4 linked regions of the Macaca mulatta genome follow. The protein of the gene in region 3 purifies or fractionates together with the protein of the main gene of each other region. This does not show direct contact. Links are inferred from orthologs where the notes say so. Each region holds a gene or a part of one and is shown on either strand. Other genes may lie near its edges.

Region 1 (3,500 bases), on a different chromosome or scaffold from region 3:
CAGCCTTCCACCAGAGCAGATGTTTGAGCTGATGAAACAAATGAAGGTGGGAGGAGGCATTAGGTTATGAATAAAGCAAACCACATCAGGTTTTCAAGGAGTTAATTGAATCAGTTCCCTGAGCTCAAATAGAAATTGTCTGTAGACCACCATTTCTTGCACCTTCAATATTCTGTATGTACACAGTATATTTTACATTTTGTACAAAGAGCTTTCTATTTTTGTACACAAACACAGCTATCCAAACAATCCAGCTGGATTTTTGTGGCCCATAGATGTCAGATGTAGATATTAAAATTTGGCTTTTTTCCTAAATGATAGTATCACAGTATTTGAAATGCCTCTTTCTTCTCTTGCCTGCCATGACCAAGGTTTTTTTGTGCCATGCAAAAACTAATGATAAAGAGCCTCTTGAATATTACATTTCTCAGAGGGGAATGACTCTAAATCACTATCAGTTTCTAAGTCATAAGTATTAAACCTGAATCTGCTTATCTTCTCAGCTCTGTGTCCAGAATAGTCCCCAGGAGGCACGGAACATGTTGCTTCAGAACCCTCAACTGGCTTATGCTTTGCTGCAAGCACAGGTAGTGATGAGAATTGTGGATCCGGAAATTGCCCTGGTGAGTGCTTCTGGTTCTTTTATGGAAATGGTCGGGTAAACCTTGAGTGGGATAGGAACTACCTGATTGCTTTGTTAAACAGACAGCTTATAGGTTTGTCTTTTCACTTTTTAGAAAATTCTGCATCGCCAGACAAATATCCCAACGCTGATTGCAGGCAACCCTCAGCCAGTCCATGGTGCTGGGCCTGGGTCAGGATCCAATGTGTCAATGAACCAGCAGAATCCTCAGGCCCCTCAGGCCCAGTCTTTGGTAGGGCTTTATCCCTTAACATTTTTTTTTATCTGTCTTAGAATGTCATTTTCTTTTTAGGAGAATATATTGAAAGAAGAATGGTCAGGAACCAGAGATGATAATTTCAATTTCCAGGCATAAAAGCAATTTCCAGGTTGCAGAGCACATGACATCTGAATGAATATAGATTCGATTCCAAGTTTGTAAAACAAAGAGATCCTTCCTGTATGCCCTTTTCTTATAAGCTAACTTTGTGTGTATGTGCATGCCTGGCACTGTGGTTGGCACTTTGTTATTCCATATGCATTATCTCATTTAATCCTCAAAGCAATTGTATGAGGTTGGCACTCTTATTATCTCCATTCTTACCAATGAAAAAAGTAAAGCTTGCTTTCAAAGCATGACACAAAACCCTAAAGCCATAAAAAATTGATACATTTGAAAACTAAAAAATTTCTATATAAAGAAAAAAATAAGTATCAAAGACATGACAAATTGAGAAAAAGTATTTGCCACACATGTGATGGACAACAGACTAATAAAGAGCCCATAGTCATGCACAGAAATGTTTATTGCCTTAGAGTGAAAAATTGGAAATGTCCTAAATGTACATCAATGGAAGAATGGAGAAAATGTGTGGTACATTCATCCAGTGAAATACTGTACAACAGTTAAATGAACTACACGTATCAACATGAATGACTCTGAAAAACATAATTCCATACAGCAGTTAAGATGAACTAGGATACATAATATCAACACAAATAACTCCAAAACAATAACATACGGACATGAAACTAAGTGAATGTGGATGCATTCCCGAAATGTAGGATATATGTTTCTGCATAAATCCCCAAAATATGTGGAGTGAGTTTCAAAATAATATATTGAGTATGTAATGATTCCTATAAAATTTTAAAACATTAGGAAGATGTCTTAGCGGTCATCTAAGGAGAAGAGAGCACAGGATGCAATTGGGGAAGACCATACAGGCCATTGGTGTATTTTATTGTTTATTTCCCAAGCTGCGTGGCTATTTTATTTCCTATATGATTTGTATATCTGTAATTTTTCATAATACATTTTAAAAGGCCTCCTATAAATTAGTAAGAAAATTTCCAATAACCCAGTAGAAAAATGGGAAATGGACATAAATATTTCACAAAAGTAGAAATATAAAGTAAATATATAAAAATGTATTCAACCTCAAAATAAGATAATGTAATAAATTATTAATACATGTAATGTTAAAAGATAATGTAAATAGAAACTACAATAAGCTACCATTTTTCATCTCTCAGATTGGCAGAGGTATAGGGCAGGAGCCAGCAAACATTTTTCTGTAAATGATCAGATAGTAAATATTTTTGGCTTTGCAAGCCACAGGATCTGCCACAGCTACTCTGCCATGGTAGTATGAAATCAGCCATAGGCAATATGTGAACAAGTGTGTGTGGTTGTGTTCCAATAAAAGTTTGTTTACAAAACCAGGCAGTGAGCCCGATTTGACCCATGGGTCATCATTTGCCAGCTCCTGCTCTAAATAAATAAATGTTTTCAGAGATAGAAAAGAGAGGTTAGCTAGTCCAAAAATGGACACAATTGTAAGTGGCAGATATAGTTCTGAACCTGGTTTTATCTGACCTCATACCCAGTTTTCTCTTAACTACCTTCCTATACAGCTCTTCCTTTTCTGTTGTAGAGTTTTGTGTTCCTTAAACGTGTATGTAATTTTTTTTTATATAACTTGGCTTTTATTCTTTATTTATTGAGCTGTTTCTTTTTCAAGGGACTACGCAGTTTTTTGGGGAATGCACAGATGAAAAGTTGACATTCTCTTTTTCTCAAAGAGTTTTAATGTAGCATTAAAAAAAAAAAATTCACATTCCCCCAGAACCAGAATTATGTCTAAGGACAGGAGTGAGAAAAGATTGGTTAAATTTAAATTTAAAAAAAAAAAAGAAGAACATTTAATTTTAAAAATGTGGACTACTAGCAGTTGTTGTGTTTTTTTAAAAAGAGGCCCAGTCTCCTTTTTTCTTTCTTGGGTTTAGGGCTTTTTTTTTTTTTTTTTTTAAACTCTTATTGCCAGGCCCCAGTCATGAAGTTAACAATAGGTGCTATGTGCTGCCTTGCCACACAGATAAGACTTGTCAATCTCTACATTGAGAATATGTTCCATCTTAACCGTGTTCCATATAACCAGGCTCATGATGTGTATTGCAACTTGCTTCTGTGGAGTTTAAAGTGTGTGACAAATCTAATGCTGCATAAGACATGCCATACAAAAAGGATGTTTGGTAGTATATTTGGGGCTGTTCATTTGAAGAGGACTTTTAAGGTCATAGACTTAGTATTGAGTCTCCACCAAGGCATGTACATACTCTGTTTTTTTTTTTTCTTGGTCAGGGTGGAATGCATGTCAATGGCGCACCTCCTCTGATGCAAGCTTCTATGCAGGGTGGAGTTCCAGCACCAGGGCAAATACCAACCGCTGTCACAGGACCTGGCCCTGGTTCCTTAGCTCCTGGAGGTAAGTTTCATTTAGTCTTCGCCATTTCAGTACTCGCTAAAGTTTTGTCATAGGCACTGCTGCAGTGCAGCCAAATATGATAATGGGATCCTTAGGTAAAATTAATCCAC
Region 2 (3,500 bases), on a different chromosome or scaffold from region 3:
AGTGCCCTGGAGGTGATCCGCAAGTACTGCGAGGATGAGGTGAGGACAGGCCCTGGTCACTGCAGCCTGGGCCAAGGGACAGGGCTCTCCCCTGAGGATTCTGAAGGGCACACAGCCTAAACCTTGTGGCAAGGGGTTTCATGAGGGACCGGGCCGTTTTGTCAGAGGCAGTCAGGAGAGAGAGCCCAAAGGCACAGTCAGGTGGGCTGAGCTCAGGTCCCTTTCCTCTTGCTGCAGAGTCGCACCTACCTGGGCATGTCCACGCTTCGAGACCTGATCTTCAAGCGCCCGTCCCGCCAGTTCCAGTACCTGCATGTCCTTCTCGACCTCAGCTCCCATGAGAAGGACAAGGTGATCCCCTGCTCCACTTCCTGGCTGCCCTCAGCCTGCAGTTTGCAGAGGCCACCTGTATCCTGAGGAACCAACTCGTTCTTAGTCCGCCTGTGGTGGCCAGCACAGGCTCCTCGTGCAGCCCAGTCCTGTGCTGGGGCCTGAGGGCATTGCCCAGCAGGGGAGCCAGTGTGGCCTCAGCCAGCAGTGAGGACCCAGCATGCTCAGCAGCTGAGCAGAGCAGTGTGCAGCTGCGGAGCCCTGGGGAGGGAGGGGCCGACCATCTGGTGGTGGGGTGGGCAGGGGAGGTGTTTCAAGGAAAGCTTCCTTCAAGAAGGGGAGATGTGGGCCGAGACCTGGAAAATGAATAGCTGGGTGTGCTCTAGACGAGGGGACAAATGTGCACATGCTGTGGTTGAGAGCGCCCTTGACCCATCCTTGCCTGCAGCCTTTTGCCCCAGCCCCTGCCTGGCAGCGTGTTTATTCATTCAGCAGACCTTCATTGCACACCCCTGGCCCTGGCCCTGGCCCTGGCCCTGGCCCTGGCCCTGTGCTGCTGCTGGGATCAGAGTGCCCAGGACCAGCCCCTACCCTCACAGGTCCCGGCAGATAATATCTGAGTGAAACAGTGTTTAGCTGGCAGTAGGCGTTCTAGGGAGACTTGGCAGGGAGTGGCACTTTTAAGGAACTGAGATCTCCCTCTGCTTGGAGCTTGGTGAGCAAGGCAAGGAGCAGTGACGGGCAGATGGGCTGGAAAGACGGGCAGATGGGCTGGAGAGGCAGGCAGCGAGGTGGTGCTGTGGGTCCGGCCCTGGCCGGGATATCTGCCTCCTGCACTGGGGACCAGCTCTGGGCCCTGGTAGCAGCTGGGCTGCCCCTTCTCAGGCTCGGGTCTGTTTTCACATGAGTGTTGCCACACTCGCAGGAATAGCTGTTCTTCCTCTTCCCTCTTCCCTGACCCTGCCCTTCTCCATCTTCCTCCTCAGGTGCGCTCCCAGGCCCTGCTGTTCATCAAACGCATGTATGAGAAGGAGCAGCTGCGGGAGTATGTGGAGAAATTTGCCCTCAACTACCTGCAGCTCCTGGTGCACCCCAACCCACCGTCTGTGCTGTTTGGAGCTGACAAAGACACAGGTTGGGCGCAGGTCATCAGATGCATATTGAGTGCTGCTGTGTCCGCGCTCTGGTCGCTGCGAGCAGAGGGGCTGAGTGGGGAAGCCACCCAGACACCAGTGACGGGAACGGGCAGGGCTGGGACAGCCACCTGGGGGCTGTGGGAGTCAGGGTAGGGGCATCTGACCTAGCCTAGGGGGTCAGGGAGAGAGATCTGGCGGACGAGGAGAGCCAGCCATCGGTGGGGCCCCAGGAAGGACCAGGCAGGGTCATCTCAGGCAGGTTCCCTCAACAGAGCCTTGGGTCCCCCAGGATTACAGACAGGTAGACTCAGACCCCGAGTAAATGGACCCTTAAATGGGAAGTCTTGGGGCCATGATAGGGCAGCACGGGAGGCCTGGCCCAGGTGCCAGGAAGCATTCCCAGGAGACGCACAGCCTTCGGGAGGCCCAGAGTCTGAGCAGGTGCTGTGGACCAGGCAGAAAGGAGGGCGGATGCAAAGGCAAAGAGACCAGGGCCTTCGGGACTGTTAGAAGGGGTGTGTGACCACCATGGAGGGCAGCAGGGCAGCAGCAGGCCGGGGCCACCCCATGCAACACCTGGCAGCCACTGGGAGGCAGCGAGCCGGGGGTTTATTCTGAGGCTACAGGGCGTGGCTGGGCTTGGAGGTGGAGAGGGACAGGGTCAGGATCGCACTCAAAGATCCTTCTAATTGCCTTGTGTGTTGGCAGTCGGGGAAGGCTGGAGGTAGGAAGTCCTGGTCCCACCCCATTTCCCTGCCCTAGAACAATTAGCTCCCCAGCCCCGGCTCCCTTCTCTGCCCTCCCTGGCTCCACTGCCCAAGAAGGGACAGTTACTGAGGGTCCGAGGGGGTTGGAGAAGAGTGTGGGCCAATCCGACGCCGCTCCTGCCCTGTCAGAGGTGGCAGCGCCCTGGACGGAGGAGACAGTGAAGCAGTGTCTCTACCTCTACCTGGCTCTCCTGCCTCAGAACCACAAGCTGATCCACGAGCTGGCGGCCGTGTACACTGAAGCCATCGCCGACATCAAGCGGACGGTGCTGAGGGTCATCGAGCAGCCGGTGAGGGCCCTGAGCCCACCAGGCCCTGCCCACCCACAGGCAGGGCTGTGTCCCCAGCTCCAGCTCTTCCCCAACCTGCTCCACCTCAGAGTGTGCCAAGCCCAAAGGGTGGTCACCCCGGGTCGACCCAGGCTGTGTAGCTTGCGGGCGGTCCGCATGTCACTCATCAGTTCCTGAGGAAACGTCAGAGTGGCTCAGCAGTTAGGAGCCTAGAGCTGGATAGAGCTGGGTTCGTGTTCACTTGTCACTTTCTCACTGCGACCTCGGGCCTGTCAGTAAAACTAGGGAAGACATTCCAGTCCCTCCACGCTGATGCAAGGAGTCCATGAACTCAGGCACATAAACCTCTGTGTCACTGTCACTGTTTATGAGCTGACCTTCCCGGTGTTGCTAATGGGACTCTTTAGCTGTCATTACATAGACATAAGTCCTTCCCACCTCTCTCTCTGGAGCCACAGGGCTGCCCACAGGAGAAGCAGCTCAGTGACAGACTGTCACCTGAGATGAGAAGGTCTGCACTTCAGTTTGCAGCAGGGTTTGAAACCACTTTTTTTCTTTCTGCCCCTGACATTTTTGGATTACCGAACATTTTCATGATAAATGGGAGAGAGAACTGTATGTTAATCCCCACCTATCTGCCATTTGGGTTCAGTGGGGCCCTTACCTGGAAAATGGGGATAACAGGCTTGTAGTCAGGAGGAAACATTTTTAGCCCCATTCCCAAGGTGAGCCAACTGTGGAAAAGTGATCTCACTTTGCAGAAAAGTGATCCTGTGGGGCTGTGAGCTTCCCGAGGGCAGAGACATTCGGTTTTAGTCAGGAGCGTAAACGTTCCTGGGCGAAGGTGGAGCCTGGCCCCAGCTCCTGTGTTTGGCGTTCACCATGGGGCAGGCTCAGGAAGCAGCAGCAGGTGGAGCCTGGTCTGGGCTCACAGCCAAGCCAGCCGCGCATGAGAAACCAAGTCACGAAGCGGGTGG
Region 3 (4,220 bases):
AAACATAAATCTAATGCCACTAGCCTGCTGAAAATCTTTCACTGGTTCTCCAAAGTCAGAGATCAAAGTCAACGTTCTTCAGCAGGACACGCCAGGTCCTCCAGGACGCAGCTCCTAACCACCTTTCCACTTCCATCCTCCACAACCCGGGCACAGTTCATTGATCTCAGCAAGGCAAAGCTGCTCGTGGTTCTCAGGGCGATGCTCCAGTCGCCCCTGCTTTGCAGCGCCCGGGACACCCTTCACCTTTCAGGCACTTGGCTACCTCTTACCTTTCAAGGTCCCTTTCAGGCTGCAGGCCTTCCTGGGATCTCAAGGCTGGGCTCAGGGACCCACAGCTTCAGTGTACCCCTGATCACAGCGCCACGATCTGCTGTGGTCTCTGATCTCACTCTCCCAGCTGCACGCTGGTCAAAGGCGGAGCTCAGGGACTCCTCTCTGCACAGCCAGGGCGCCTGGCAGGGGACGCGCTTACTGAAGCCGAGAACTTTCTGGGGTGTCTGTGACACCCCAACAGCAATTCCCAAGTACCAAACGCCTACCACGTGCCATGCACGGTGCTAGGTGCACAGATCCCTCTCACCCTCACTGACCAGCAAGCCTGAAGGATAACAGCCCCTTTCAAACGAGGATGCCAAAGCGCCCGAAGAGTCAGTGACCTGCCCAGGGTCACCAGGGTAAGGACGGATGGGGCCAAGCTCAGGGCCTAGGGAGAGCCGGCTCCAAAGTTCCTCCCAGACGCCAGCCTGCTTGGCACCTGTCTGTCACCGTGATGGAGCACCTTCCACCTACTGGGTGCGGAGGATGTGACAGCGAAGGGGACAGACAACCCCGACCCTGAGAGGCGGGAGGCGGCCGAAACGAGGCAGAGGAAGAGGCAGGGAAACGGCCCGCGCTGCCCGCCTTGCCTCCTCTCCCGGCTGGCAGCGGCTCCGGAAGCTACAGTCCACAACGCCCACGCCCGACCCGCGGTTCCAGGCGCCTCCACCCGCGCCCCGGGAGCGCGGACCCGCAGAGAACGCAGCCGGAGCCCAGGCATCCCTCCCCCGCCCTCCCTGCGGCCCCACCCATCCTTCCCGGCCGTCCGCGCCGCTCTCGGGGCCGTGTTCCCGTCAGGCCTCCGCGAGCTCGGCCCCGAGTGGGACGAGGGCTGGGCGCTCACCTCGCAGCCGCGGGCCCATCCTCCGGTTGCGGGCTTCGGGGTCCGCGTGGGAGCGCCGCGGCCTCCGGCACCCAGGCAGCTACTCCCGTTCCCGCTCCAGCGCCGGCTTTTCCAACGCTCCTGCCCACGTCCGCCGGGCCCCGCCTCCGAGACTAAGCGCAGGCGCAGTCCTGACGTCCCGCCCCCGGTTCCAGGACCCCGAGTGGTGGGAAGCTTCGCAAGGGACGTCCCCCAACCGGAAGTCGAGGGGAGGAGTCTAGTGCCGCGGGCTCCGGAGTGACGGAAGTTGTGCTCTTGGTGGATGGGGTTCTTCTTTCTTTATTTACCTTCCAATTTAGGAAGACCCCGGCGACCTGTTCCCCGCCCCCGCTTCGCCCTCACACTTTCGGGATGTCTGCGATTCCTGCTGAGGAGAGCGACCAGCTGCTGATCCGACCTCTGTAAGAGACCAGCGAGAGAGGGAATGAGGCCCAGGGCTGTGAGGGGTGCGAGGGATAACCGGAGACTTTGGCCTCCTCCGTCGCCCGCGCTCCCACCGTCCCCGGCAGCCTGCCTTTGGTCCGCGCTTGCGGGCCAGGCTTCTCAGGCTCGAGGGGTTGGAGGACCACTGATTGGAAGGGGCCTGCTAGAGTGAACGGGATTTTGCTTCTTTATCAGTTTCAGGGGAGGGTATGTTGGAGTCGGAAAAAAAAAAGTTTTCCGGGGCCACCGGCCGCTTTTCGTACACGCTAAAAAGCGTTTTCACTTAGCACAAGCACGGATCTCTGCGCGTCAGGGCAAGCCGTGAGAGAGCCGGTGACGCTTATGATCGACAGGATGAGAGGAGGACCTGAATGAGGCTACAGCGGTGCAGGGAAGAATTAAGTCTGTTTCCTAACACCAGGGCTTCACATGTGCCAGAAGTTAGAAAATATTAGGGACGTGCCGTGAGTTTCGATCTTCTCAGCTCAGGTCCTAGTAGAATAAGGAAGGTGTAAAGCTGGAGAGGAGAAAGTGCAGAGGTGTTAGGGACAAAAACTCAGCCCTCGACTGTCCGTAAGGAGAGTGGCCTTTCAGTGGACATGGTCCTCATCAGTCGGGAATGCTGCTGAAGGGGAGATGCAAGATGCTGAAGGGGAGATGTAGGAACTTGGATTCCTACAGATGAGCATTTCGAACCCACAACATGTTTATTGTTAGATGTTAGTTGGCACAACATGAATATACGCTTTCCAAAAGGTAGAAAGTATCTCCTTTACACATTCGTTCAGTAAGGCTTCATTGAGCACCTGCTTGGGACATAGTCCGTTTCCTTCTGCTTAGATCACACCTGTCATGTCTTCCTGTGATGAGCAAACACTGTCGCTTGATCTGCTAACTCAATTCTTTAGCAAGTGTCAAGTGTCAAGCACCACACGTGGGGATACAGATGCAAAGGAGGGCCCAGTTAATTGCTCTCGCCCTTATGGAGAGAATTACAGTGCACAGTGGGAAGTATTGGAGAGATACTTTGGTATAATAGGAGACCATTACTTTGAAGTCAGACCTGAAGTACGTTATCTACTTGACCACTTAGTAGGACAACAACCTCACTAAACCTGTTTTCTCATGTGGAAATGAGATAAAACTTGAAGAGTAAAGATCGCGGTAGGTGCTTTGTAAATAATAGCTAATCTAAGAGGGCAGGTAGGCATTGCACTGAGCACTGTGAAAGTATGGAAAAGGGATTTCTGACAGATTGAGGAAAAAAGGATACCTCATGCATCCTGAAAAATGTGATGCTTGAGCTGAGTCCTCAAGAATGAGTAGGAGTTGAAGACTGGGGGGCCCAGGGTGTTCTAGGCAGTGGAAGTGGCACATGTGAAAGTGAGAGTGGCCACAACTTGTGGCCAGATTCCTCATGGCTGTAGCTAAAGAGTTGAGTTAGCAGATGAAGCGACAGGCTGTTGAGGTCCAGTTTAGGAAGCACCTCATATACATAGGAGTTTGGACCTTTATCAGATAGTCAATTACAGGGAGCCAGCAAAGGCTGTTAAGCAAGCATGGATATTGTGAGGAATTATGTTTTAGGAAAATCACTCCTGGCAGCAGTGTAGCAGCTGAATAAAAGGATGGATTGAGTAGAGCAGGTTCAGTAAGATATCATTGAAAGATTCCAAGTCTAGGTGATCAGAGCCTGTAGTGAGTGACATGAGTGTGAGAGAGTACGCAAATGAGATCTTCAGGATTTTGTGGCTGATCAGCTGTATCTGGAAGGGTGGTTGTGGGGAGGGAAGGCAGGGCAGAGAGGATGTTATGATGACTCGGATTCCTAAGTTTGGCAGTTGGGAAAGGGTAGTGTTCTTCACTCTAGGAGTGTAGGAAGTGGGGCAACTCTGGAGTAAATTTGGGAGTTCGGTTGTTTCATAACAGCTTTATTGAGATACAGTTTACATACTATACAACTCACAATTTATATACCATACAACTCTCAGTCGTTCTTAACATAGAGTTATACAACCATCACCCCTCTCTCATTCCAGAACATTTTCATCACTCCCAAAAGATACCTTGTATTCATTAGCAGTCATGGACAATCCCCACTACCTCTCCAGACCTTAGCAACCACTAATCTACTTCTCTACAGATTTGCCTGTTGTGGACATTTCACAGAAGTGCGATCATACAATACATAGTCTTTTGTCTCTGGCATCTTTCATTTAGCGTAATCTTTCCAAGGTTCAAAATTGAGGAGTTTTATTCATTCAATAAGTATTTTTTGTGATTTACGTAGCAATACAGCAGTGAATAAGGTGGACAATGCCTCTGTTCTTAGGAAGCTTTCATTTAGTAGCCTGAAGCAAGACATAAGTGGATACAATAACTTCATGTAGTTGTAAGTATTAAGATAACATGATGCTGGGTTGCGGCTTGCTGTGAAGGGCAAATTAGAGGAGGTAGTCAAGAGAAAGCATCTGAGAAGGTGACATTGGAACTGAGACCCAAATGATACAAAGGAGCCAACCACATCAATATCTGAAGACAAAGCATTTCAGGAAGAAAGCAGAGCAAGTAGGGGGCATGTGGTGGAAACCAGTTT
Region 4 (3,500 bases), on a different chromosome or scaffold from region 3:
GTTTTGATTATGGAATAGAATATTGTGGACTAATTAGGATTCATCTAAATAAAACAACAAAAGCAAGATATAGTATGTTTAGTCACCATTCTCAAACTTTGTGATATGTACAGATATATCTTTTGAACGGATGGCAAAGAAATACACTGTCATGTTTAGTTACTTATATCTGGGTAGTGAGATAAAAGGATGATTTTTCCTTGTTTATACCTCCTTGCATTTTCAAAATTAGTTATAGTGAGTATATATTACTTTTATAATTGAGGAAAAATTAGCATTGCAAGCCTTGTGGTTAATGAGTTTCTTTCATCTTTTATGCTCATTTAATTAAGAGAATGTTAGTTCCATTTTGTTCTGTTAAAAATGATTTTTCCTCTTTCCACTAGGAAGCTCCTCAGGGTGCTCCCACTGCCGAGTGAGAACTGGGAAGCTCTAGTTGGAGAATGGTGTTGTCATCCTGACCCCTTTGCTAATAAACCACTTCATCCGCAAGAGAATGACTGTTTTATTGGAGACTCTTTCTTCTTGGTGAATTTAAGAACCAGTTTGTGGCAGCCAAGACCTGAACTTTCCCCAGTGGAGATGTGCTGTGTTTCTTCTGACAACCATTGTAAATTGGTAAAATATCATTTCAAACTAAATGCTAATTTAGAGGTTGTCTTAGATACTGGTTTCTTCAATCTTTTCCTAATTAAGGCCTTGTTACATGGACTGCTGTAAAGGCCAAAATTCATTATTTTCAACTGTCATCACTATCTCTGCTTTATCAAAACAGGAAGAGCATATGGCTTTAAACTAAAACAGCCACAGGGACCTGGAAGAATAAGGAGAGGAAGACCTCTGCAGTCACAGAATTGGGAGTGCTACCATTTTACAAACAAAATGCCCTCCTTTCTTGTTCTTAGGACAATATTGCATAATTTGTGTGCATTTTATCCTAAGTAGTCTGATTTAAGTTAAAATGTTCTGTTGCTCCAGGATATCTACTATACTATTAGGCTGAGGTATTTTACTATTTCTGCCCACAGTCTAGACTTCTGCTGAAGTCATAAATGCAGATGTCATCAAGTAAAAAGAGGAATGGAGGAGCCCAGAAATGGAGATAAAGCTTGTGTTGCAGGGTCTGAATTGGTGCTTGACAGTGTGAGGTCAGGTAGTTCTTGCTGCGTAGGTTACTTTGGGAAGAAGGCAATTTTCTCTCACTGCAGAGAACACGTTTTACTTTATTTTAAAAGAAAATCAATGTCATTGGCTTAGCCCTGTGAGAAATCATTCCACTGATGGCCAGTCAGTACAGATGTTATTTAAAAAGTAAAGAAAATCATTGCCAGAGAAGCATTTTAACATCTGATTATTGGTGGGAACGAAAACATTGTATTTTAAATTTCATTCAGAACTCATTTAATTTTTGTAATCAGAACTGAAACTGAGCGACTGCAGGAAATATGCAGTAGATGGGCAGCTCTTAGGTTGTAAATTAGTTTATAGAACTATTCTGAGGGAGACGAAGGAAATTCGTCGAATGTGGACGTTAAGTTGTTGTCAAAGAAAATTATTTAAGTGCCTCATCTTACACTGTAAACAGAAATCCCTTAATCTAAATATGGTTCACTTTGGTGAAATGTGGTACTTTACATTTTATATTTTAAAAGGTAAATAGTAAGTTAATATACATTTATGTTATATTTAATATGATTAATTAAATTTGTATTTTAATCTAAATATATACTAATACTTTATGTGTTTTAAATTTCGTCTTTATGATTAAGCTATACATTTTAAAAATATTTGGAAGTTGTGAGCAGAAAAGTAGTAAAGATTAAATGAGAGAAGCCATGTTTCCCTTTTTAAATAAACTCAGCACTCTGTGCTGAAATATATTCTTCACATTTACATCTTTATCAGTTATGTGATGCAATTTACAAGAATTTCTCTTCATAGTAAACAGCTATCTTATCCATTAAAGAAAGACCCATCGTATTTTTAGACATTACAGTTTTAGTATCAAGGAGACTGTGGGAAATTCTGTACTATCATGACAAGCTGCTGTTGAAAAGATTTTCTTCAAGTTAGCCTAGATGAAAGTCCCTCTTTAATTGTATATTGTAGCAGTCCAAAGAGTGTGCCTGTGACCAAAATAGAAGCGTAAATTTGGAGGGACTGGGTAAACAGTGCTCTCAAGGCTCCTGTGGGAACAAGGCTGTTCTGTGCTATTGAAAACCTATTTCTCCTATCACCCAGTCTAGCCATCTAGCAGGGTTTTGAAATGCCACATAGTAACAAAGCATCCTAATGGTATCTCTTGGGAAACATTTTTTTGGTGAGACAATATCAAGGGTCCTTAGAAATTGAGACAACACAAAGGGAAACTAAAAGGGAGGACACAAGGCTAATCCACCTCTCTGAGCAGTCCTGCCCTGTGTCAGATATATTGACTTAATTAGTCCACAACAATGTCTGTCTTTGAGGTTTGCTCTGTAGAGTTCCCACACTGTTAGGCTGCTTCATTACACAACTTACCTTATTATTTCCTTCAAGGATAGGTGAAGAAAAATGCATTACAAACAGAGATTCTCTTTAAACAAAATTTATGTGTTATATGTTTAATTAAAAAGATCTGCTTTTAAAAACAGCACAAACAAACGTGAAGCCCAACACTGTTTCTTTTCTTCCATAGCTTTTTAGAGTTTATAGTACTTTATTTGAGCCTTTGTCATTGCAGCAGTATCTACTTTTTTTAAAAAAGATACCTGCTGGAGATTTCCCTATTCATGTATTCATTTATCATCTCTCTTGTTCTATTTTGTGCCCACCCACATAATACAAATTTCGCATCTTGGGCCGGGCATGGTAGCTTATGCCTGTAATCCCAGCACTTTGCGAGGCTGAGGCGGGTGGATCACAAGGTCAGGAGATCGAGACCATCCTGGCCAACATGGTAAAACCCCATCTCTACTAAACTACAAAAAAATTAGCGAGGCATGGTGGCGGGGGCCTGTAGTCCCAGCTACTCAGGAGGCTGAGGCAGGAGAATCTCTTGAACCCAAGAGGCAGAGGTTGCAGTGAGCCAAGATTACACCGCTGCACTCCAGCCTGGTGACAGAGCGAGACACCATCTCAAAAAAAAAAAAAAAAATTGTATCTTATAATAATGGGATGATAAAGATGGCATTTCTTCCTTTTATAAGATTCAAAATATTATTCAAGACTTCACTGTATTTTTTAAAGAACAAATAAAATTGATCTTTGATTACATTAATATTACTGCTAGCAAGGATGACTAACATCTTTATCTTTTTTTCTTTCTTGGAGTACTTAGTAATAATTAGTTGATTTTGGTAATTTGTTTTGTTAAATCCATAAGTGGGTCTTTTTTGTTTTCTTAGAAAAATGTGTTGTCAAACTCTGTAAGTATTCACAATTATAAAAAGAATAGTATTGTGAATTTCAATATGGATTCATCATACTAGTATGCTTCATCTGCTCTTTTTTTTCCTGAA

The links. Proteins that work in one complex are often made in the same cells at the same time.
Region 1: the proteins of CPSF3 (region 3) and CSTF2 purify together in Homo sapiens (affinity purification with mass spectrometry; 3 studies listed by BioGRID and IntAct, with this or other methods). This does not show direct contact. The link is inferred for Macaca mulatta from reciprocal best matches to the Homo sapiens genes CPSF3 and CSTF2.
Region 2: the proteins of CPSF3 (region 3) and SYMPK fractionate together in Homo sapiens (co-fractionation; 6 studies listed by BioGRID and IntAct, with this or other methods). This does not show direct contact. The link is inferred for Macaca mulatta from reciprocal best matches to the Homo sapiens genes CPSF3 and SYMPK.
Region 4: the proteins of CPSF3 (region 3) and UBE3D purify together in Homo sapiens (affinity purification with mass spectrometry; 4 studies listed by BioGRID and IntAct, counting the BioPlex papers as one, with this or other methods). This does not show direct contact. The link is inferred for Macaca mulatta from reciprocal best matches to the Homo sapiens genes CPSF3 and UBE3D.

The regions. Positions count from the first base shown.
Region 1 is NC_133426.1:107,706,910-107,710,409, forward strand, and holds part of CSTF2 (cleavage stimulation factor subunit 2), read left to right. Parts: coding exon 1-46; intron 47-503; coding exon 504-623; intron 624-737; coding exon 738-875; intron 876-3,266; coding exon 3,267-3,390; intron 3,391-3,500. UniProt on the Homo sapiens protein: One of the multiple factors required for polyadenylation and 3'-end cleavage of mammalian pre-mRNAs. This subunit is directly involved in the binding to pre-mRNAs.
Region 2 is NC_133424.1:58,376,585-58,380,084, reverse strand, and holds part of SYMPK (symplekin), read left to right. Parts: coding exon 1-39; intron 40-237; coding exon 238-351; intron 352-1,316; coding exon 1,317-1,464; intron 1,465-2,362; coding exon 2,363-2,523; intron 2,524-3,500. UniProt on the Homo sapiens protein: Scaffold protein that functions as a component of a multimolecular complex involved in histone mRNA 3'-end processing. Specific component of the tight junction (TJ) plaque, but might not be an exclusively junctional component. May have a house-keeping rule.
Region 3 is NC_133418.1:115,401,212-115,405,431, reverse strand, and holds the start of CPSF3 (cleavage and polyadenylation specificity factor subunit 3), read left to right. Parts: upstream 1-1,420; 5' UTR 1,421-1,552; coding exon 1,553-1,602; intron 1,603-4,220. UniProt on the Homo sapiens protein: Component of the cleavage and polyadenylation specificity factor (CPSF) complex that plays a key role in pre-mRNA 3'-end formation, recognizing the AAUAAA signal sequence and interacting with poly(A) polymerase and other factors to bring about cleavage and poly(A) addition.
Region 4 is NC_133409.1:102,792,413-102,795,912, forward strand, and holds part of UBE3D (E3 ubiquitin-protein ligase E3D), read left to right. Parts: intron 1-386; coding exon 387-618; intron 619-3,500. UniProt on the Homo sapiens protein: E3 ubiquitin-protein ligase which accepts ubiquitin from specific E2 ubiquitin-conjugating enzymes, and transfers it to substrates, generally promoting their degradation by the proteasome.